Linked DNA regions of Canis lupus familiaris. The protein of the gene in region 1 purifies or fractionates together with the protein of each later gene. This does not show direct contact. Links are inferred from orthologs where the notes say so. Each region holds a gene or a part of one and is shown on either strand. Other genes may lie near its edges.

Region 1 (7,106 bases):
AGAGAGGCAGAGACACAGGCAGAGGGAGAAGCAGGCTCCATGCAGGGAGCCCGACATGGGACTTGATCCCGGGACCCCAGGATCACACCCTGGGCCAAAGGCAGGCGCCAAACCACTGAGCCACCCAGGGATCCCCCAGATACTTTTTTTTTTTTTTTTTAAGATTTTATTTATTCATGAAAGATACACAGAGAGAGGCAGAGAAGCAGGCACCTCACAGGGAGCCCGATGTGGGACTCGATCCCTGGACTCTGGGATCACGCTGTGGTAATCAGATGCTCAGTGCCACCCTGGCACCCCTGCCAGATACTTTTTTGAGCACTTTATATTAGTCACTTCAGGGATCCCTGGGTGGCGCAGCGGTTTAGCGCCTGCCTTTGGCCCAGGGCGCGATCCTGGGGACCCGAGATTGAATCCCACGTCAGGCTCCCGGTGCATGGAGCCTGCGTCTCCCTCTGCCTATGTCTCTGCCTCTCTCTCTCTCTCTCTCTCTCTCTCTGTGACTATCATAAATAAATAAAAATTTAAAAAAAAGATTTTATTAGTCACTTCATTTTCACAACAATCTCTGAAATAAGTGGTTGTGTTGTTTCTACTTTACAGAGGAAACTGGAGTATAAAGAATTTAAATTGTTCAAATTGTACCATAAGAGGCAGAATCAAAATTCAAACCTTTGCAGTGATTTCTAAACTTAGAGTTGTTAATTTTTTATCTGTTGTAATCATACCTGTAACAATGTTACTGGATTGTGAAGGAAGTTTTACAGACTTTTTCTCCATACTTTTGAGTAAGAATAAAAAAATATTCTTTGGAGGGGGCTTGATAGTATCCTAGGAAGCAGTCTTTTTGCTTGTTCTTATGCCACCCAAGGTATATTGCTTTTAAGATACTAATAAAAAGTTTTTGGTGTTTCTAGATTTGGTGCAAGAGGTGGTGGTGGCCTTCCCCCAAAGAAATTTGGTAATCCTGGGGAGCGTTTACGTAAAAAGAAGTGGGATTTGAGTGAGCTCCCCAAGTTTGAGAAGAATTTTTATGTAGAACATCCAGAAGTGGCAAGACTGACTCCGGTAAGTTTGGGGGATTTACCTTTTTTCTATACGCAGTAATGAACCAAGTTAACATTAGGCAGACTTCACTGCTGTTAGATGTTTATTCTAGTGTAGTAGTTCCCTTAGATTCTTACTAAGACTACTGGTACTTGCATGAGGAAACAGTTTAAATATTTACCTAATCTATTGTTTGGTTCTCGTTTATTGGCTATGCTTCCCAATTTGTCGTATATGAGATTTTAACTATATGAGGTATCTTGTCTTTCACCTACATTAAAACATTGACATAATGTACTTGTTTTTTTAACCTTGTTGTGATTGTTTTGGATTCCACTCATTGAAATGTTCAAAAAAAGATAATGATGGAAAAAGCACTTGGTCCAAGTTCCACTGTTTATCCCTCATCCTAGTTCTGACCCTTGGGCAAATTTCTTTTAATATTTCTAAGTGTCTGTTTTCTCATGGGGAAAATAGAACTCTTCTCACATGCTTCATTAACTCAAAGTTGGGAGGATCTTTGCAAATTAATGAAGTTGAATGTATATGAAAGCAGTATTAGAAGTGTTAGATATTTTCCAGTGTAACTGTATAGTTAATTGTTCATCTTGATTGGAACATAAAGTGTTATATGTTTAGAGTAACTTATTTTTCTTACTTCGTTTTCTTCCATAGTATGAGGTTGATGAACTACGCCGAAAGAAAGAAATTACAGTGAGAGGGGGAGATGTTTGTCCTAAACCTGTGTTTGCCTTCCATCATGCTAACTTCCCACGTAAGTGTTCTTCAGTCCAGGATTGTAATTGTTAATTTTATTGAATGGTAAACATGGATAATGGGTTATTTAAAGGTTTTGATTCAGGCTTAGGATTTTATTGAAAGAGGCAAGTTGAAACCCTTCATAAAGGTAATAATATACTTCTTTAAAAATTTCAAGACTTTTAAGTAAATGCTGTATTGTTGCATAAGAGTTTTTTTATGCTTATGTTTTTTATTTTTAAGCTTTTTTTGAGTTTTTCATCTTCCCCCTAGAAGTTTTGCCTCTACCTTTTAGAAAACCATGAAATTGCTTTCTAGCTGGATATAACTTGGCAAATAATACGTGACCAACAACCATGTGCCCATGCTGTATTAGAGACTTTAGGGCAATAGTTTTTAAGTATTGAAGGGAAGAGTAGATAACTAGGGCAATAGTCCTCTGAGATAGCCAGCAGATCAGAGATTCAGTAACTAAAGAAAAAAACAGCACTTCTCTTGGAGATATGAAGCTGGGTAAATCTTTCCTTTGATGAGCTGAATGGATTTTTTTTAGAATTCTATTGGCTGTGTCCTTGTTTTACCTGAAAGCACTGACATTTGTTCTCTTACAGAATATGTAATGGATGTGTTGATGGATCAACACTTTACAGAACCAACTCCGATTCAGTGCCAGGGATTTCCTTTGGCTCTCAGTGGTCGAGATATGGTGGGCATTGCTCAGACTGGCTCTGGGAAGACTCTGGCGGTATGTACCGGCAAGGGAATGTTAACATTATGGTAACTTATTTTGCAGATTATCCCATTAATTTTTTTTTTTTTAAGATTTTATTTATTCATGAGAGAGAGTGAGGCAGACACACAGGCAGAGGGAGAAGCAAGCTTCCTGCAGGAACCTGATGTGGGTCTCTGATCCCAGGACCCCAGGATCATGACCTGAGCCCAAGGCTCAACTGCTGAGTCACCATTCATTCTTTAAAAATTCTAATTCAGCAGCTCCTGGGTGGCTCAGTCAGTTAAGTGTCTGCCTTTAGCTCAGGTCATGATCTCAGGGTCCTGGGATCAAGCTCCACATCAGGCTTGCTGCTCAGTGGGGAGCCTCCTTCTCCCTCGGCCCCTCCCCCTTCCATTCATGCTTTCTTGCTCACTCTCCCCCTCTCTCTCAAAATAAGTAAATAAAATATTTTTTAAAAATTCTAATTCAGATAGTGTAGGTAGTTTCAGCTTTCTTAGGTATGGGGAATGTGTGAGTACGTTGTGTTCAAATTTACATTGCACATACGTGTAACAGTTGAGAGTTCTGTTTTCATTTTTGTGGTTAGGCATTATCAATTAACTATGGTAACTTAAAATAATGGCTTACTTTTGGAATAAGACTGTCATTGTTTTCCCCCCTCCCTAGTATTTGCTGCCTGCAATTGTTCATATTAACCACCAGCCCTACTTGGAAAGAGGAGATGGCCCAATTGTAAGTGTATTTATAATTCTAAAAATAATCACAGTTTAATGGTAACTGTGTTTCAGGCATTGTGCTTTACATGTGTTTTAGATTTTATTCTCAAACCCACCCTCTTTTTCTGGAAGTGATGTCTCCATCTTACTGATAAATTTTGACACAGTGCTATTAAATGATTAGTCCACAAAGTCATAATAGCTGTTAAATGGCTGAGTTTGATTTTGAATAGTCTTACTCTTTTTTTTTTTTTTAAATAGTCTTACTCTTAACTGCTATGTGTGCTGCCTTCATCTATAGGCATTTACTCTGCAGTAAAGTCAGAATTCTTAATTATTCAATGATGGTGTGAGGGATAAGGAAGTATGAAAATGATATCCCTGCCATTTGTATGTAAGTCACATTTAGGATATGTATTCTTTGTGGTTAAGTAATACTTTTAAAATTTTTATAGGGCAGTATGATTTTCTGGTTTATTTTCACTTTTGCTATTTCCTGTAAAATGTGTGGAGTGGTTATCAAACATTTTTAATACATTCTTACCTGTTTTTTAAAAATTGAGGGGTGCCTGACTGCCTCAGTCAGTAGAATATGCAGCTCTTGATCTTGGGCTGTGAGTTGGGAGCCCCACGTTGGGTGTAGAGATTACTTTTAAAAAAATCTTTAAAAAAAATAATCGAGCTTGCAGCTTGGATTTGATAAGTCTTTACAAATAGGTACATTATTACTGTCTCAAAATAGTCACAAAAAACTTTGCACACATAACTTTGCAATGTGTGATATATTCCACATTGCTAGTTGAATTAGCTAATTGAATTAGTAATATTTCATGGATCTACACAGAACAGGATCTGTTGTTAATATTGTATATAATAACCTATTTCAACGAGTCTTCTAATTTTGTATTGTTTTGATTATAAGTCACTGTTTTTAACCTAATGTGTCTGGCTGAAAGCTTACACTAGAAGTCAGAAAAATGTCTACTTTGCTCTTTCCTTATTCATCTAGTTTTCTACTAATATTTAATTTAATTAATTTAATCGTTGGCTAATGTCACTTGTTCATTTTGTGAGAGTTGTTTACCTAGTTAAAACTAGGTAATACAATCTGTAAATCCACTTAAAAAGCACAAACTATAATGAATCCTATATCAAAAGTAAACCATCATTTCACATGCTAAATGTTTTCTATCACACTCCCATATGCTGTCTTAAACTGTCTTCCCCTACCCCCTCACATAATTTTTAAAGTACCAGATTAGACAATACAAAAAGAATTTAAATGACCTTTTTAATTTGATGGTGACTTAAACACGTGTGTTTGTTTCAGTGTCTAGTTCTGGCTCCTACCAGAGAGCTTGCCCAGCAAGTACAGCAGGTGGCTGATGACTATGGCAAATGTTCTAGATTGAAGAGTACTTGCATTTATGGAGGTGCTCCCAAAGGTCCCCAAATTCGAGACTTGGAGAGAGGTAATTTAAAATATATATATATCATGTAAGAATTAACAATTTTTCTCATCTTACCAATTTTTATGAATGAAGTTGGAGAGGAAAATAGTGGATTATTTTTGGAAAAAATCCGTAATTCAGCAGCTTAAAAATTCCCAGGTACAGTTAAACTGCTAATAAGGGAAAAGTTTTTACAGAGACCAACTTTGTGGAGATTTGATGATTATAAATAAATCTCTATATCTTGCTTTCCCAAGTATTGTGTTAAAATTTAACTAGTGTGCGGTGCCTGGGTGGCTCAGTCTATTAAGCATCTGCCTTCAGCTCAGGTCATGATCCCAGGATCCTGGGATGGAGCCCCACTTCTGGCTTCCTGCTTAGCAGGACGCCTGCTTTTCCCCTCTCTCTCTGCTTGTGCACATGCTTTGTCTCTCTCAAATAACTAAAATCTTTTTTTTTTTTTAATTTATTTTAAAAGATTTTGTTTATTTACTCATGAGAGACAGAGAGAGAGGCAGAGACACAGGCAGAGGGAAAAGCAGGCTCCAGGTCTCCAGGATCAGACCCCGGGCCAAAGGCGACACTAAACCGCTGAGCCACCTGGGCTGCCCAACTGAAATCTTTTTAAAAAATTTTAGTTAGTGCTCTCCAGTATTGAATGCAACCATCAGAGCTGGTGCTTCTTAGTTTGCTGAGGCTTGGACAGTGTATAAGGAATTCTTAGTTGGCTATATCTTTGGTTTTGTTTTACAGGTGTTGAGATCTGTATAGCTACTCCTGGGCGCCTGATAGATTTCCTGGAGTCAGGAAAGACAAATCTTCGCCGTTGTACTTACCTTGTACTGGATGAGGCTGACAGGATGCTTGATATGGGCTTTGAACCTCAGATCCGTAAAATTGTTGACCAAATCAGGGTGTGTAAAACTGATGATACACTGTCTTTATTCCCATTTCCTGTCACAGTTCCTTAGCCTAAAAGAAAGCCTTTCTTCTCCTGGTAGCCTGATAGGCAGACATTGATGTGGAGCGCAACCTGGCCAAAAGAAGTAAGACAGCTTGCAGAGGATTTCCTTCGTGATTACACCCAGATCAACGTGGGCAATCTGGAGTTGAGTGCCAACCACAACATCCTCCAGATTGTGGATGTCTGCATGGAAAGTGAAAAAGACCACAAGTAAGAGGGATTTTACTGTTTTGATAATGCTGTTAAACTTTTCCTGATAATCCTCCCAAAATTAAAGCATTGAAGAAGCCTGAAATTTTTTGAGGGCCAAAAAATGTTAAAAGCATTACTAGCTTACCAGCTATCCATTCTTTATCTCATTCTCCAGAATATTGTAGTTATAAGCGAGGTACTGGATTCTTAGAATTAAATCCCAGTTCAGATAGTTAACAGCTGTATAGAAGATAATGTGAAAAGAGTACTGTAGTTTTGAGGAATTAATATTGTATACATAGCTTTTACATAATGTGTGGGGAGATTTTATCTGAATGCATTTTTGCTGGTCTTGTTTTCAGGTTGATTCAGCTCATGGAGGAAATAATGGCTGAGAAAGAAAATAAGACAATAATATTTGTAGAGACAAAGAGACGCTGTGATGACCTCACTCGAAGGATGCGCAGAGATGGGTGAGTGCAGCACTGAGGTAATTAGCTTCAGGTTTTATATTTATAGTTTAGTAGGAATTTCTAAATTGGTATTATATATATTGTATATTTCATAATGCCCGTCATGCACCTTACTCTTTGGATGGACACAGTCATCTATTCATGTAGCCTAATAAACCTTCACAATTCTGTGTGATAGTTCTTCTTTTTAAAGTTTAGTTTCTCTTTTTTTTTAAAGCTTTCTGAAATATTGGTCATTTTTCTTCTGACAGTTGGCCAGCTATGTGTATCCATGGAGACAAGAGTCAACCTGAAAGAGATTGGGTACTTAATGGTGAGTTAAGAACTAAATATTGTCCATACTCTATTTTAGGGATGGGCAAACTTTCTGTAAAGGATCAAGAAGTAAATATTTTCTGCTTTACAGACGATAACGGTGTATCGTCACAGTCACAGAATTTCTGTCAGTCATTTGGTTCTCATTACGGCAAAAAAGAATGGACATAGGCAATATGTGAAGATCAGCTTGGTTGTATTGCAATAAAATAGTAAAAATAGTATTTCTAGATTTGATGCATAGGCCAGAGTTTGCCTAGCTCTGCTCTAGTTAATTGACTAGTAGGGACATTTTTTAGCATATCTCTACTGTCTTTGAAAGTCACTAATGCTGGCTCTTTACACTTTTTTTGTAATTTAGACTATCTTTTATTTAATAAGGTCTTGTCTTTATAGACTGTTCATCAGCCTAGAGAGTTCCCCAAACCCTATACTTCTGGGATTTTTTTTTTAAAG
Region 2 (7,106 bases), on another chromosome or scaffold:
GGTTATATAACCATAATGGTAGTGCATTCCTTGCGCCTTTTTTGAGGTCTGTTTGTCACCTTTATCCATTCCCCATTCTATGGTTCAGCTTACGGATTCTCACGAACCACCTCCTTACTACAGCAGAGGATACCAGGTACCTGCTTCTATAAGATACCAATTCAACCTCGGTGGGCAGGACCCCATTCTTAAAATACAGATCCTGTAGCAACATGCTGCCTTTCTTCCTTTTCTGAGGCATACTTGAATTTTTCAGCCTCAGTTTCAAGTTTTATTTTTTTATTTTTATATATATATTTTTAAAGATCTTATTTATTTATTCATGAGACACACACACACACACACACAGCGAGAGAGAGAGAGAGAGAGAGAGAGAGAGAGAGAGAGAGGCAGAGACACAGGCAGAGGGAGAAGCAGGCTCCATGCAGGGAGACTGACGCGGGACTTGATCCTGGGTCTCCAATCAGGCCCTGGGCCAAAGGCGCTAAACCGCTGAGCCACCGGGGCTGCCCCAGTTTCAGGTTTTAATTCTTGCTTTTGGCCCCCGTATTTCCTAGAAGTCACTCTAATAAACAGCAACACAGAAAAAAACCTTTCAATAGTTTTGTCTCTATACAGTTTCAAGTTCTGCATTTAGTTCACGTGTAATTACAGGTTCCAGGCCCAGCCCTGGATTTCCATCCTCCTAACATTGGTTGGGGCATCAGGTAGAATTTTCTAACCACATAAAAACCCTAATAACTTCTCTGGTTGGGAAATTATACTTCTAGAAGAAGAGGCTGGTACTTAGGTTTCTCTACCTTAGATTTATCAAAACAAGTTTTATCTCCAGCAGCAGCCAGGTAACATCACAAGGCTTTTGCCAGCAACCTACTGGCAATTATTACCAATGAACAGTAGGTTCTGTATCAATGAGTTAGCAAATAGAGAATCCCTCCCCTATCCCCACCCCTGAAGATTTTAGAGAAGTGCTTTTTTTTCCTTAAAATTAAGTACGAGTCTGTTACAGGCTTTAAGATTATTCAAGAGGGATCCCTGGGTGGCGCAGCGGTTTGGCGCCTGCCTTTGGCCCAGGGCGCGATCCTGGAGACCCGGGATCGAATCCCACATCGGGCTCCCGGTGCATGGAGCCTGCTTCTCCCTCTGCCTGTGTCTCTGCCTCTCTCTCTCTCTCTCTGTGACTATCATAAATTTAAAAAAAAAAAAAAAAAAAAGATTATTCAAGATTATTATTTAACTATTATTTCTCAGATTCTTCTCCTTCAATACCAAACATACTAAATGCCTTTATTTTGAAGGTTTTAAACTGCATTATTACATGCCAGGTGCCATCTTATTTGAGGAACACATACAAAAAAGAAACATTTATTCCAGGATAAGAAATTAAATAAAGCCAACATTACTGGTAAAAAATAGGAGGATTGGAAACTGGAAACATGGCTTCTAAACAGATGGCAGTTGTCTTTGGAAGAGGGGGAGTCCTACAGAGGAAGGGACTATTATTAGATCAAGGAGTATTCACCTTGGCAGGAGTTTTAATCAGGATCCAATTTCTCTGACCATTTAGTCAAAGGAACTGAGTGTTTTTGCCAGCCAGTCTCCAAACAGAATGTAAAATATAATACATGTAGATCTGATAACCTCGTCCTCTGGCTGCTTCTCATCTAAGAAGTCAGCGTAAGATATTTGTGTCCACAGCTGAAGAACACAGAACTGCAATGGAACAGATGATTCTGCACCCGTATGCATGCATGTCGCCAAAAGAGAGGAAAGCGGGCTCGATGCTTTAAACAAAATTGTGTTCAGTGGAACAGAACTGCCTCAGGGCCTGCTACACAGGGTGGAAATCAAGTACAACGGGAGAACTCCCTCCATACCCACCACCCACCAATCAGTTATTTTTTTTTATCTTTTTACAAATTAGGGCTCTACAGAATTTTGTTTTTAAAAAAAAGTTCAAAGTTAACCAAAAACACAAGTTTAAAATTCACTGAGCTGAAAGATCTCTAAGGTCCCTTCCAGTTAATAATGCTCTACAATTTTATGATGTCTCTATCAACTCTGACTTATCATTGAGAGGACCAGATTTTGAGCAGATTGTTGAACATTCTGCTCATGGTTTTGTTTTAAGATTTTATTTATTTATTTGAGAAGGAAAGAGAAAGATGAGAGAGAGAGAGAGAGATCACAAGCAGAAGGGAGGGGCAGAAGGAGAGGGAGAAGCAGGCCCCTCACTGAGCAGGGATCCTGGGAATCATGACCTGAGCCAAAGGCAGAGGCTTAACTGAGCCACCCAGGCACCCTCTGCTCATCATTCTTATGCTGTCTACCTTAGGATGACATTATGTTTGTTTTGGAGGAAAATAAAAATTAGATAATATAGCGTCAAGGTCCTAAGAAAAAATCAGCAGAAGATACTCATTTCTGAATACTTAGAGTAAAAAATTAAAAAAAAAAAATTGGTCAGTTAGCAAAATAACTGACAACTTGGTAGATACAGCTGGCTGCCACTATAGAGAATTAATTCTCCATCTAGTAACATGGCATCAACAGTAGTCCATCTTAACACAAAAATATATAGCTCTGGAATCACAATGTAAATGAATCACCTAGCAGTACCTTTAATAATAAGATTAAATCCCACTGTTCAATATAATAATTAAATGCCAACACTGACTTAAAGAAAAAATACCTCATTATGATGAAATAAATACCCAAGACTGCTTGAACGTATTACCAAACACATGCTACACAAAACAAGAGTGAGTGGAAGCCTGTAAGCATTCTTCCCAAAGGCTGAACATGGCACACTACACTACCTGACCTGACCCCTGCCTGGGTGACCTCCTCGCCTTTACTATAATTCCCATGGAGCACAACCAGTATCAATCATAACAAGAGAATTGAGTGAAGAGTCAGAGAATATGTTGGGTTTTAGGGGTCTCTAATATATTATAAATTCCACTCATAGGGAAAACAAAAATAGTTATTAGTGAGAGTTATATATAGTTGAAATGTTCCTCTATTAGTTCATCTAAGGAAAAAATCTGTTATCATTTGACTCAAATATGAAATTCATACTGATTTTGTTCATTAATGCCTTCAGTTCTCTGCAATGTAAGTTTGACTCATCAGTCTGGAAAGTCTGTACACATCATCTTCAGGAGTCTGCCTGTACAGCTGCTGGAATCGCTCTTTTGACAAGCGCCCACACGCATTGCACACAGGCAGATGCATTTGAAAAACACACTTGCCTTCACTCAACAGGCAGAGACAGAATTTAGCATTACTAAGTAACTGCCCCCCAACTCATCCTACCACCGTGCACATGTATGCATGCATTCATGCAGGGGCACACACACGCACACACACACACAGCTAAACAAGATGAAAACTGACACAAAAACAAAACCCAAACAATAGAAAACAATTTATGGTTGGTGTTCCATTTAGCTACAAGATTGTATGTTCTGTAGCAACTCATCTCATCCGCATTAGGAAAACTTCAGTGGCAGATGCCTTTTAAAGAGATATATAGGTATAAATGTGTTCTTAGAGGCGTCATCACCTGACAGACATCAGAACGGATGCCAGTTTTCCAAAATCCTTGACTACTTAGCTCCACTGTTACTTCTCGCCTCATTGTATTCTTCTGTCGTATTTTTTGGAGTGCTTCCTAGAAAAGAACTCATTATGATGAGTAAACTGACAGCTGTAAAGCAATATTAAGCCAAACATCAAGCATTGGAAAATAAGCTGGATTCATTCAATATCACCCTTACATTCAGGTATTCAAACCTCTTCATGTTAAATTATAATATTTTATTTGAAATGAAGGCCAGGATGCTCAAAGCCTTGGGTATATGCCAGCCTTTCCTGGTACCTAGATATGAAAAAATCTAAACCAAATCGACCATTCTGGTGAGTTCAAACAAAAAATGCCCCTTTGCTGATAAAAGAAACAACATGTGATGTTTGAGACTTAAAATCAGCATGTAAAAATTATATTTATATCAAGCCTTATGTTAAGCATTTACATCTAAGAAAGACAATCAGTAAACTAATCTGCAACCCACATAATTCTAAAAGCTGTCTTCTCATTTGCAAAACCCTTACAAAACCTCTTGCAGCAAGGGTACCTTTTTATTTAAAAAAGACAATGATTTAAAACTTCTGCAAGATATAAAGGAGCTGACTCTTCCCTTTTACCTCCCTTCAAATAATTAATTATAAAAATAATTTTATATTTGTACACTTATTCAATAAAAATCTCATAAGAGTTCATAACAACAGGAACTATCACACCACCTGCCTCATTAAATGCCTACTACAGATCAAACACCATCGGAGGAAAGTTAAACGGAGTATTTCAGAAGTCCACACAACCACCTTTTTTTCCCAGATGCACCAACAGAAACAAATTTCAGTCATCCTCCCTTAATCTAGTTCTCTCTTTATAATGAAGCTATCTGGCTCAAGTCACAGGAAGTGACTGGACCAGAATTCAAACACTTTTCCCAGCTTCAAAGCCTTGCTCTCTAACACTGCCCAAAGCAAAATAAAACCTCAATGAAACAAAATTTATGTTGATACTGAATTGATTTATTCTTAAAAATGATCCTGGAGTACAGGGATAATACTACCCATTAGTAAAAAATATGGACTTTGGGACATAAAACCTTATGAAAGAAGTTTACCCTACTAAACTAACAGACATATGGAAGACATATGAAAGGCAATCTTTTACGACCTTAAGTACAAGAAATTTGAGCAAGACCCAAGTTGTGTTATGTACAGTCTAATTAACAATAAAAGGTTGACCCAGCAATTTTAAAATTTGAAAAATCTCTATAAGATATATTTATTCCCAATGGTAGGAATCCATTAAGAAAGAGGCCTTTTTTGGTGTGGTGGTGGTGGTGGTGGTGATAATGCTCCTCTAGATACTAAAAGATGAAAAAAATATCAATCTGTATACTAATGTGAGGAAAGAAAAGTGTATTTTTAAAAGTGTTTTTCCATTTTATTCTAGAAGTATGGTATAATGCAATAATCTTGAAATAAACATGAAACACATCAACATTAATCCCAGAAGAACAGGATTTGATACCAACCTCTCTTTGTGCCAGCTTCTGTTTGTCAGTTTGTTTAACTTTGGGACTATTTGCTAGGAGGTGGCGAAGTTTCACATAACTCTTCCACAGTTTCTGGTACCTAAGGAAAAGGACAGACAGACATCTCAGAAAAAAAGTAGGAGAATCTGAAATGCAATAAAACCAGCTGTTTTAATAGGCCTGCTGAATCATAAATTACATTCTTTAGATATCCTTAATGGCAACAAACCTTCATTCTAAGGAAGCATATGATCTGGGGACAGTGGGGCAGGATGACCGAGAGTCATCTGGAACCTAGTGGTTAAGTTGATAATTTTAAGTCTGTGTTGAAAATGAGGTACCCTATAAGTGCCCGAATCTCTGTGGAAAGAATTCATAGACACATAAAAACCAACAGAAACACGTATTATTTCTCATCATTACCTATTTTATTTAAATATGTACTTTCTGATGTTATTGAAAGAAAGACCTCTTACTTAACAAGGACTGTTGGTCTCTGAACTGCCTACATTGAAAACAGAAGTTGAAGAGTATTAGAAAAGAGAATCCCACTTGTGTCAATACCCGAGCTCTACAGCTGTATCCGTTTCTCCACTGGAGAAGGAAAAAGACAAATGGTGTGCATCCATTTGTATTTACCATGACAAAAATAAGCATATTTGCTGCAGCATATCACAAATATGTGATAAGCTGGATCAGACTAAAGGATCTTGTTAAAACATCCTGGGAATGAAGAGAAATGCAGTCCTGCAGCAGCACATAGTCCTGCCACCTGAGAATCCACGAGAGCCTATCACATTCTACTAACATTTGTGACAAGAAGGGACTTTCAATGAATTTTCTGTCCCTATTAAAACTGCTCCTTTCTTGGCCTTAGCTGGGTCTCTCCTTTTTGGTAACAATTTTTTAGAGAATGGAGGAAAGAAAGAAGTACTTACACAGTGCCTGGTTCACTGCTTCATACTTTTATCCAAAGGGGGGAAAAAAAGAACAAAACCCTTTAGCCTCTTCTAATGTATCAGCCAGAAATGTATTTATGAATTGAAAATCTCCCATGCCCTTTTCTCCCATTTTGAATCCTTAAAAAAAAAAATTAAGTCAAGAAGCTGTTTGTTTGTTTAACGAGGTAGGAAATCCAAACACTTCTGAAGAATATAATGGTACTATTTCCATTCCCACACATCCTCATCTTCTCCCAGAAAAACACTAACAAGAAGTTGGAAAAACTCAAATGTGCAAAGTAACATCAACTCTAAGTGTCAGAAGTCATGCCTTCTCCTTACAACACAACCCTTGACTTTGCATGGGATCTTGAGCTCTTATTAAGATGCCTCCCAAAATAGAATTCTGCATAAATCCAGCAGTGCTAGGAATCAACATGGTGCTACTTTCCTCTAGAGAGCACTGAAAAAATAAATAATAATAACAATAAATATTATAATGATGAACGAAGGAAAAGTTCCTTAAAGGTTAAAAATATATGGGACTCATGTTGACCAAAATTGCCAAGGATAATCTAATGAGTAATAATTTCCTGCAGTCAAATCGAAAGAGAAAATAATTTTTCAGGAGCTACTAAAACTTGTTTCATTTGGTAACCTAAATTTGGAATCATGGCTCATTTCCGGTCTTAATTTTTTAATAAAATATCCACTCAAGGGTATTCCCCTGCTAATTCAGCTGTTAGTAGAAGGTGAAATTGGCTAAGACAAACACCGAGAAATATCTTACTGTGGGTCTCCTGCATAACTCAACTGTGCAGGGCGTATCCCAAAGTGGACGATAATCGGAAAGGTAATCACATCAGGGTTGAACTGTTCACGATCCAGTTGATCAATGCGGACAGAGCTAGGTTTCTAGAGAGAAAAATCAAAGCCATTTATTCCCATAAGAAGTCTTTCAGTATTGACTTTAACCTTCCTAATGAAGAACTTAAGCGGATTTTTTCTGGGAAAGCCTCATCCCCCAAGGGAAAATGTCACTTAAAACCCG
Region 3 (7,106 bases), on another chromosome or scaffold:
GCTGGGATCTAACTTCACTCCTTCACCACTCCTCTGTTCCCACCCCCCATTTCAATCCATCACCCATTCCTCCCAATTGTCCTACAAACCTGTCTAATCTACTCTTTCCCATTTCAATTCTCCCTACTGTAAATTCAAGCCACCATTATATTCATGCATCCTAAACTCTGATATTTATCCCATCCTTTGTAGGTTCTGGAATTTTGTCCTTCAGGGATTATATGTGAAGCTTCCTTAATCACCATCCTTCCTGCTGAAAGTAATCTCTCCTATTCTAAACACCTACAATTGTTATCTACCCATGACACTTCTTTATCTTTCTTTTTGAAGACTGTCCTCAATAATTCTATATATCTGACCCACTGGGAGAGCAAAGTATACACAATAAATAAGTGTGCTGTTTTAGAAGCTATTTACTGCCTTAGTTTGAAATCCAGTCCTACCATTCACTGGCTGTATAGCCTTGGATCTTAATGTCTCTGTGTTAGTTTCCTTACTCATATTAAAGGGGAAAAAGATCTACCTACATCATAGATCAAATGTTAAAATGAGTTAATATCAGAAAAGCACTTGGCACAGTGCCTGGTACACACTGAATACTATGTGTAAGATTAATAAATTTTAAAAAGTAAACTAGTTATAGCAAAATGGGACTCAGAATTCAAAAAGGACACAGTTCTATATAATAAAATTATTAACAGTTTATAACCAAATGCAGTAATGATCCTTGAAAGGAAGATCAAAGAATTATTCTTGGATGATTAGAAAAATTTTAGTATGTTTCTAATATTAGATAGGTTAATATTTAAAATTTTGGGGTGTGATCATGGTATTGCTATGTGCTTAAAAGATGCATGAAGTATACTGATGTAAAATGTCCTAAGCTCTGCAACTTAGTCACAAATGATTAAGCAAAAGTAGGTGTGTGCACACACAAATGTATAAAAGCAGGTGTCACAGAATGCTGACAATTAGTGAGTTTAGGTTCTAAGACTTTATTGGTGTTCACTGTACTACTCTTCTGCCTTCTCGGCAGATATCAAATATTTCCAAATAAAAAGTTGTAAGCAAAGAAAGATTAAAAAGGTGGAAAAAGTCAACCAAATAAGACATTTTAAGAATTAAGAGAAATTTCACACTTAAGATATTTGCATTCTTGCATTCCCCTACTAAGATGAACCTTGAGGCTTTTCATTTGAAGAAGCTCCGATTTAACCCCTCAATCAACATTTTTTCATTGGAGAAAGCAAAAGAGTACCGTGGAAAGAGAATGGTTTGGGCTCTGTCACTTTCCTGTCATGGGACCGACCCTGGACTTTCTCTGACATGCACTGATACAATATACTATTAACACAGACAAAAATTAGTAACACCCTTTTTTCTGAATGTGTTAACCCGCATTAAATCTCATATTCAGTGTTTGTCTAGAATTTTAACGTAAATAAACAAGGCCTCTATTAGCTAACTGTGAATTTTAGGCCAGTGTAAGATTACTGTCTTCTGCTTGGTTCAAAGAGATGTTACTGTGGTACTCACCGTGTACTGCCAATCATGAGGTTGATACCAGCAGCTGAGGGCCTAGAGATTTGGCGAATCATGTTTAGCATATGTTCATTAACAGGGTCCAACTGGCTGATGATATTAGGCTGTTTGGTTACTTCAACAACCAGAGCTTCCATGGCTGCCCGGAGAGCAGTGATACAGGCAGCAGCTTCATGAGATATTTGCAGTCTGATCCTAAAGCAAAGAAAAATGATAAGGTACAAGAAGGGTATATATAGCAAAGACTACTGTCTCTCAATTTCACACATGGTTAAGTGATGGAATAAATTAAACTTCTTACTAAGTACCAATACTTTCAACTCCTGCAATGAACCCTACTTAGGCAAACACAGGTATGAAGAATGGTAACAGTTTTTAAGATCCACTGCTGGCTACTGGCAGGTATTGTAAACCAAGAAGTCTATCCAGCAAAATATTGTAAGCAATATAGATCATTCAGTTTCCAATAAAAGAATGAAAGAGACTCACATTGCTGGAGTTGTCAAGAATATGACTGAGCCTACTGACTGGTCAACTAAGATCTACTCCCTTTTTGTCAAGTGCTTACTACATGTTTACCAGTAGTCTCTAACCAACATACAGAGTACATGAAAAGGTACCCAAGTTTCAAGTAGATTCCAATTCCCTAGGGTAATATTCATGTGGGGCAGATGTAGCTTCAATGCCTATGCAATTGCTTCCACTGGTATGACTTACTATCAAGTATGAACTGTACTACCAAGATATACCACTACTCTCCAAGAAGAGACAATGTTATAAAACACTTCATTTCTGCCATGAAATTTTGTCATGTTTATTCCGCAAATAAAGTTAGATTAGCAGCTAAATCCCATTACACCTCAATTCTAAGAATGTGGTTTGAAGTTCACATCTGAAAATCCATACCAGTCATCTACGAGCACGATCTGCCCATCAGACTGGACCTTCTTGGAGGCAAAGAGAAGCAACTGCAAGGGAGTGACTAAGGTCATGCCCTTAGCAGAGATGGCTCGGGTTCGAATCTGCAGATGGAAAAGGAGGCAAGAGGAAACAGATGACATTCCAGGTTGTCAAATGCCATATAATTTATTGAATTATGCTTTAAAAATAAAAACTCACATTCCCACCGCGCATTAATAAGTAATGACAATGTAGATTTCTAATGTAAATTTTTCTTTTTTTTGAGGTTGGGGGAGAGAGAGGAAGAGTGTGCTGGGCAGAGGGAAAGGCAAAGAATCTCAAGCAGGCTCCATGCTCAGCACAGAGCCCGACACAGAGCCCTGAGATCATGACCTGAGCTGAAATCAAGAATTGGATACTTAACATACTGAGCCCCACGCAGGCGCCCCTCAATGCAAATTTTTCTAAACTAATCTTTTCTTACCTTTTCACCAAATACAAAGAAGGGAGATGGGTACTTCATGTCTTGGCTGCTAAAAGGACAATTAACAGACGACTTGTGGATAAGGGCATTACGCCCTTCAGTGGTGAGAATCTTTCTTTTTTCCTTATGATAGCACACATTAGGGTACACACCAAAAGCCAGAAGAGAGATAACAACATCCAAATTATTATCTGGTCCAGTGTTAGTAAACACTTGGGTCAACAAGCAATCTGTTAAGAGGAATGGGGTAAAAATATCAGATTATCTGGCTAATCCTCGGATTGCATGTAAACTTAAGAAAATTAGGACTGACTCCTTCCCACCTCTTTTTTCAGATTTCCTGTCTTCTCAGAACTTTTGCACCCATATTTTAAGTTCAAGGAGAAATTCTGAGTCTCCACAACAAAAAACTAAAATACTTACATTCTCTTATAGACTCAACCATAAGAGTTGAGTAGTTGAGTGTTTACTTAAAGACAAAAGCCAACTCCTCACTCAGGTTATCATCTACTTGCTAAAAGTGAGCCAGACCTAACAGGTGAGTAAAGTGGAACATCTACTGTTCCTCAGTAGCTGTTTTTTTTAAAGACAGAATGACAGTTCAAGGGGAGCCCACTGGAATGAGGGCTGATGTTTCCACCCACACTATGCTCTTTAGAAGTACTTCCTCATGGTTGAGAAGCATGACAGTGACCACTAAGAACATGGATATATTCTGTGCTGGACAAACCTAAGTTCTAGTCTCATCACTTAACTGAATGAGTTTAGACAAGTAATTTAAACCTCTGTGTTTCCTCTTCTATAAAACAGAGTAATATCTGTATCTTGGGATTATTGTGAGGATTCTATCATATAAGATATGTTCTTCCTTTTTTCCTTTGATTTTGACTTAAAAAATTACAAATTTAGTCCATTTACAACAGAGGAAAACATTTGTCTAGTTACTTAGATTATATCCTTTTGAAATTTGCCATCTTGCCCAACTATGTTCTCTGTCTCTCAACTATAATACAGCTATGTCCAGTTGTGTGCTTCAATTCCCAACTTTAGGAAATGACGCTCTTTTAATATAGTTGGAGAACAAAAGATTAAAAGCTCAACTAATATAAGAAATAAACAGCTAAATTACTCTCTCTCCATCAAATATCAAAGCCTCCTTACTCTCCAGCACACTTAAAGGCACTTAAAATTTAACATGGTAAATTTCATGTCTAAACACAAATGTGGGCAGAATGATCAATCACTTGACAAAACACTATTTGAGGTTATTCAACGAACACAGGGTCTAAAGTCTGAAGCTAAAAGACACTGCACTGTCAACGTGCACATGCTACATAAATGTCACTTTAGATAGATCCTTAGAATCTGAGAGTCATACCTTCTGGAAATCCAGAATTAATCAGAATCTCTTTGAGCTGAACTTTGGCTTCCCAGGTCATTCTTAGTGTAGCCATATTGAGTCTCTTGTGCTCACAAAAACGTATCTCTGCTTCTTCTCCACCCATTCTAAAATAGGTAAGAGTCATTTTTTTTAAGAGTCATTCTCAAAGCCCCAAAACACATTAGAAACTAAAGAGAGTTCTCACAGCTTTATAACTTTCTGCTTTCAAATGCATACCTAGCATCATCCCAAGCCTGGAAGACCGATAAAAGGGCCACATGATCAGAAAATCTGTTTCCAGCAAAATTTCGATGAATATAACCCAGTCGCTTTCCTTCACTAATGAAAGGCTCCGGAAAGCAGGTTGCAGCAGAGATGGTACAGACGGCGTCTCCCACACTGAAACAGACAGGAGAATTCAGCCTCATACTTTCTTTCCAGCAGTTCACGAGCCATACTGTCACTGTGGGTCAGTCTTTACTGGCTATGATACTGCTTTATCAGCACCAAGACTGGCTTAACAAAGAACTTTTACAGTTGCTCCCTCCAGAAGCAGAAAGAGAAAAAAATGAAGGAGCTCTAATATTAATGGATGAATATTTACCATAAATTATGACCAAGTATTTTATTTTTCCTTTCCTTATTCTCTTCCCCATCTTCTCAACTCTCTTAATTAATCTTCAAAATTTCCTGATAAAGTATACCTGTTTTCCTAGTTCCATTTCTCTTTTAAAGACAACCACTTACGCTCCTCAGAGGAACTGTGCTTCCCTTTTGAGAAACTTGTGCTCTTTCCCCCAACAAGCTGAGCCCTGGTACCCATCTACTGGTATCATGCATTCTCATTTCATACTTTGCTTAATATCTGAAGTATGCCACTTCTAAGAATTTAATTTTTTCTTCTGAGCCCATCCTGTTTTTTATGGCAAGGGGAATAAGATCCTGAAATTGTTTTTCTACCATTTAAGTATCAGCAATAAAACAAAGCACTTACTAGAAAATACATCCCATTATCATCATTTTGCCAAAACGAGGCTCAATGGGGAGTTTAGCCAGGATTCGTCCCAGAGGAGTCAACTCATCATTGGCATCTAACGCATCAAGTTCTGTGGGGAAATATTTCTTTATGAGCAGAAACAGTAATGAACACTCCTTTAACTGAGGCAAAGATGAAAAATTTAAGGTTAATTGAGTTTTTAATATTTGTCAAGTCAACTGCCAGCACCATGCCCATAGCCAATAATTCTCTTTACTCAAAAACAGAACAAAACCAAATTCTGGAGCACCTAATAGGGAGAAGGTACTAGAATTAGGTCCTGTAAGCTGTAAAGCTTGAATACAGCCCATGCAAACTCTATAGATAAAATAAAAACTAAAATAACAGCATAAGTACATATGCCCTAAACAAGTCTCATGCCATCTACAGGTAATTTTTAGAGAGAAATGAGATGCGAAGAGCCAAAGTCTAAATAAAGTTCATATAGCAGATGAGTATTGGATTCAAAATCAGATTCCCTTGGCCAATGTTCTTAGTTTTTCCCATGATACTACACCACTTCTATGACATGATTAGAAAATACAAATAGAGATTTTAACAGATACACATAAAATACTAGATAGTGAGTAATTCATATTCTAATTGTTAAATACTGGTGAAGAGGTTTGTGGGTTTTTTTTTGCTTTTTTTTTTTTACCAAAAGAAGACTCATGTTACTCCTTTCTTACCCCATGTTGCTCATTTTATAAAACTGACCACACTAAATACATAAGGTAGCACTGGAAGTCTTACCACAGCCTGCCAAATGTATCTTGATTCATCTGTTACATGTTAGTTGCCAGGACAAGACAAATGGCATAATTAACACGTGTTAGGTAGGTTCTGTGTTTATAGGTACCTCTAAGGGTATGCTCTGCTTCGATCACAGCATCCAAAGGTGGAGGTTCAATCGCCTTGGCCAGAAACTGGCCAATTCCTCCCAGACGCAGAAGTTTTATGCTCAAAGCAATTTCGTGTAATGGTGTTCGGAACATCTCAGGTGTCATATGGGTTTCAAGTCTAAGTGAAGAAAAGCAGAAAATAACCATCCACTCTTGTATATACATGTCTGTTTGACAAAATCTTTGCAGAGAGATAATCAGGTTTATAGAGCTCTCCTTCCCTCACCCTTTTATAATTAACAAAAAATGTTTTGTATTTACCACAAAGACTCTCTGGACAAGACCCTTTTAACTGCTTGAGCAGTGGTTTACCACTTACAGCTTGATAGTATTTTTGTCTGAAGAGTGAAGGAGGATGAAAAAAAGAATTCTTAATGTTATTACCCATACCTATGACTTCAGGTCTTGCCTGCTGACAAACCTGAGTTATAAACAATGGCTAAGAAGGGAGAGGGTGAGGAGACAGGCAAAAATGGGTGAAGGGGAGTGGGAGATACAGGCTTCCAGTTATTGAATGAATAAATCACAAGGGTGAAAGGTACACCCCAAAGAATATAGTCAATTGTATTGTAAAAGTGTTATATGGTGACGGATGGCAGTTACACTTGTGGGAAGCACAGCATAATGTATAGAGTTGTTGAATCACTATGTTGTACACCTGAAACTAATGTAACATCAGTTATCAACAATACTCAAAAACAAACACCTCTCACCCCCCCCACCCCTAAATGGTAATAAGACTTTCTGTGGAGATTTGGGCTGATACTAACATTTCCCCACAATCACCTTCCCTTTCTGGTTCGTAAAATTTAGTGCCACCAGAAAGATTTTACAGATCATCTAACCCTTAAAAATTTTAGT

What was found.
Region 2: the proteins of DDX17 (region 1) and DROSHA purify together in Homo sapiens (co-immunoprecipitation; 3 studies listed by IntAct, with this or other methods). This does not show direct contact. The link is inferred for Canis lupus familiaris from reciprocal best matches to the Homo sapiens genes DDX17 and DROSHA.
Region 3: the proteins of DDX17 (region 1) and DHX9 fractionate together in Homo sapiens (co-fractionation; 3 studies listed by BioGRID and IntAct, with this or other methods). This does not show direct contact. The link is inferred for Canis lupus familiaris from reciprocal best matches to the Homo sapiens genes DDX17 and DHX9.

What each region holds. Positions count from the first base shown.
Region 1 is NC_049231.1:27,287,405-27,294,510, forward strand, and holds part of DDX17 (probable ATP-dependent RNA helicase DDX17), read left to right. Parts: intron 1-917; coding exon 918-1,068; intron 1,069-1,722; coding exon 1,723-1,822; intron 1,823-2,417; coding exon 2,418-2,551; intron 2,552-3,205; coding exon 3,206-3,271; intron 3,272-4,585; coding exon 4,586-4,727; intron 4,728-5,459; coding exon 5,460-5,620; intron 5,621-5,707; coding exon 5,708-5,880; intron 5,881-6,224; coding exon 6,225-6,335; intron 6,336-6,586; coding exon 6,587-6,648; intron 6,649-7,106. UniProt on the Homo sapiens protein: As an RNA helicase, unwinds RNA and alters RNA structures through ATP binding and hydrolysis.
Region 2 is NC_049225.1:76,746,832-76,753,937, reverse strand, and holds part of DROSHA (ribonuclease 3), read right to left. Parts: intron 6,971-7,106; coding exon 6,846-6,970; intron 5,215-6,845; coding exon 5,115-5,214; intron 3,677-5,114; coding exon 3,569-3,676; intron 1-3,568. UniProt on the Homo sapiens protein: Ribonuclease III double-stranded (ds) RNA-specific endoribonuclease that is involved in the initial step of microRNA (miRNA) biogenesis.
Region 3 is NC_049228.1:16,163,283-16,170,388, reverse strand, and holds part of DHX9 (ATP-dependent RNA helicase A), read right to left. Parts: intron 6,364-7,106; coding exon 6,203-6,363; intron 5,414-6,202; coding exon 5,302-5,413; intron 4,707-5,301; coding exon 4,545-4,706; intron 4,433-4,544; coding exon 4,305-4,432; intron 3,157-4,304; coding exon 2,927-3,156; intron 2,565-2,926; coding exon 2,449-2,564; intron 1,738-2,448; coding exon 1,537-1,737; intron 1-1,536. UniProt on the Homo sapiens protein: Multifunctional ATP-dependent nucleic acid helicase that unwinds DNA and RNA in a 3' to 5' direction and that plays important roles in many processes, such as DNA replication, transcriptional activation, post-transcriptional RNA regulation, mRNA translation and RNA-mediated gene silencing.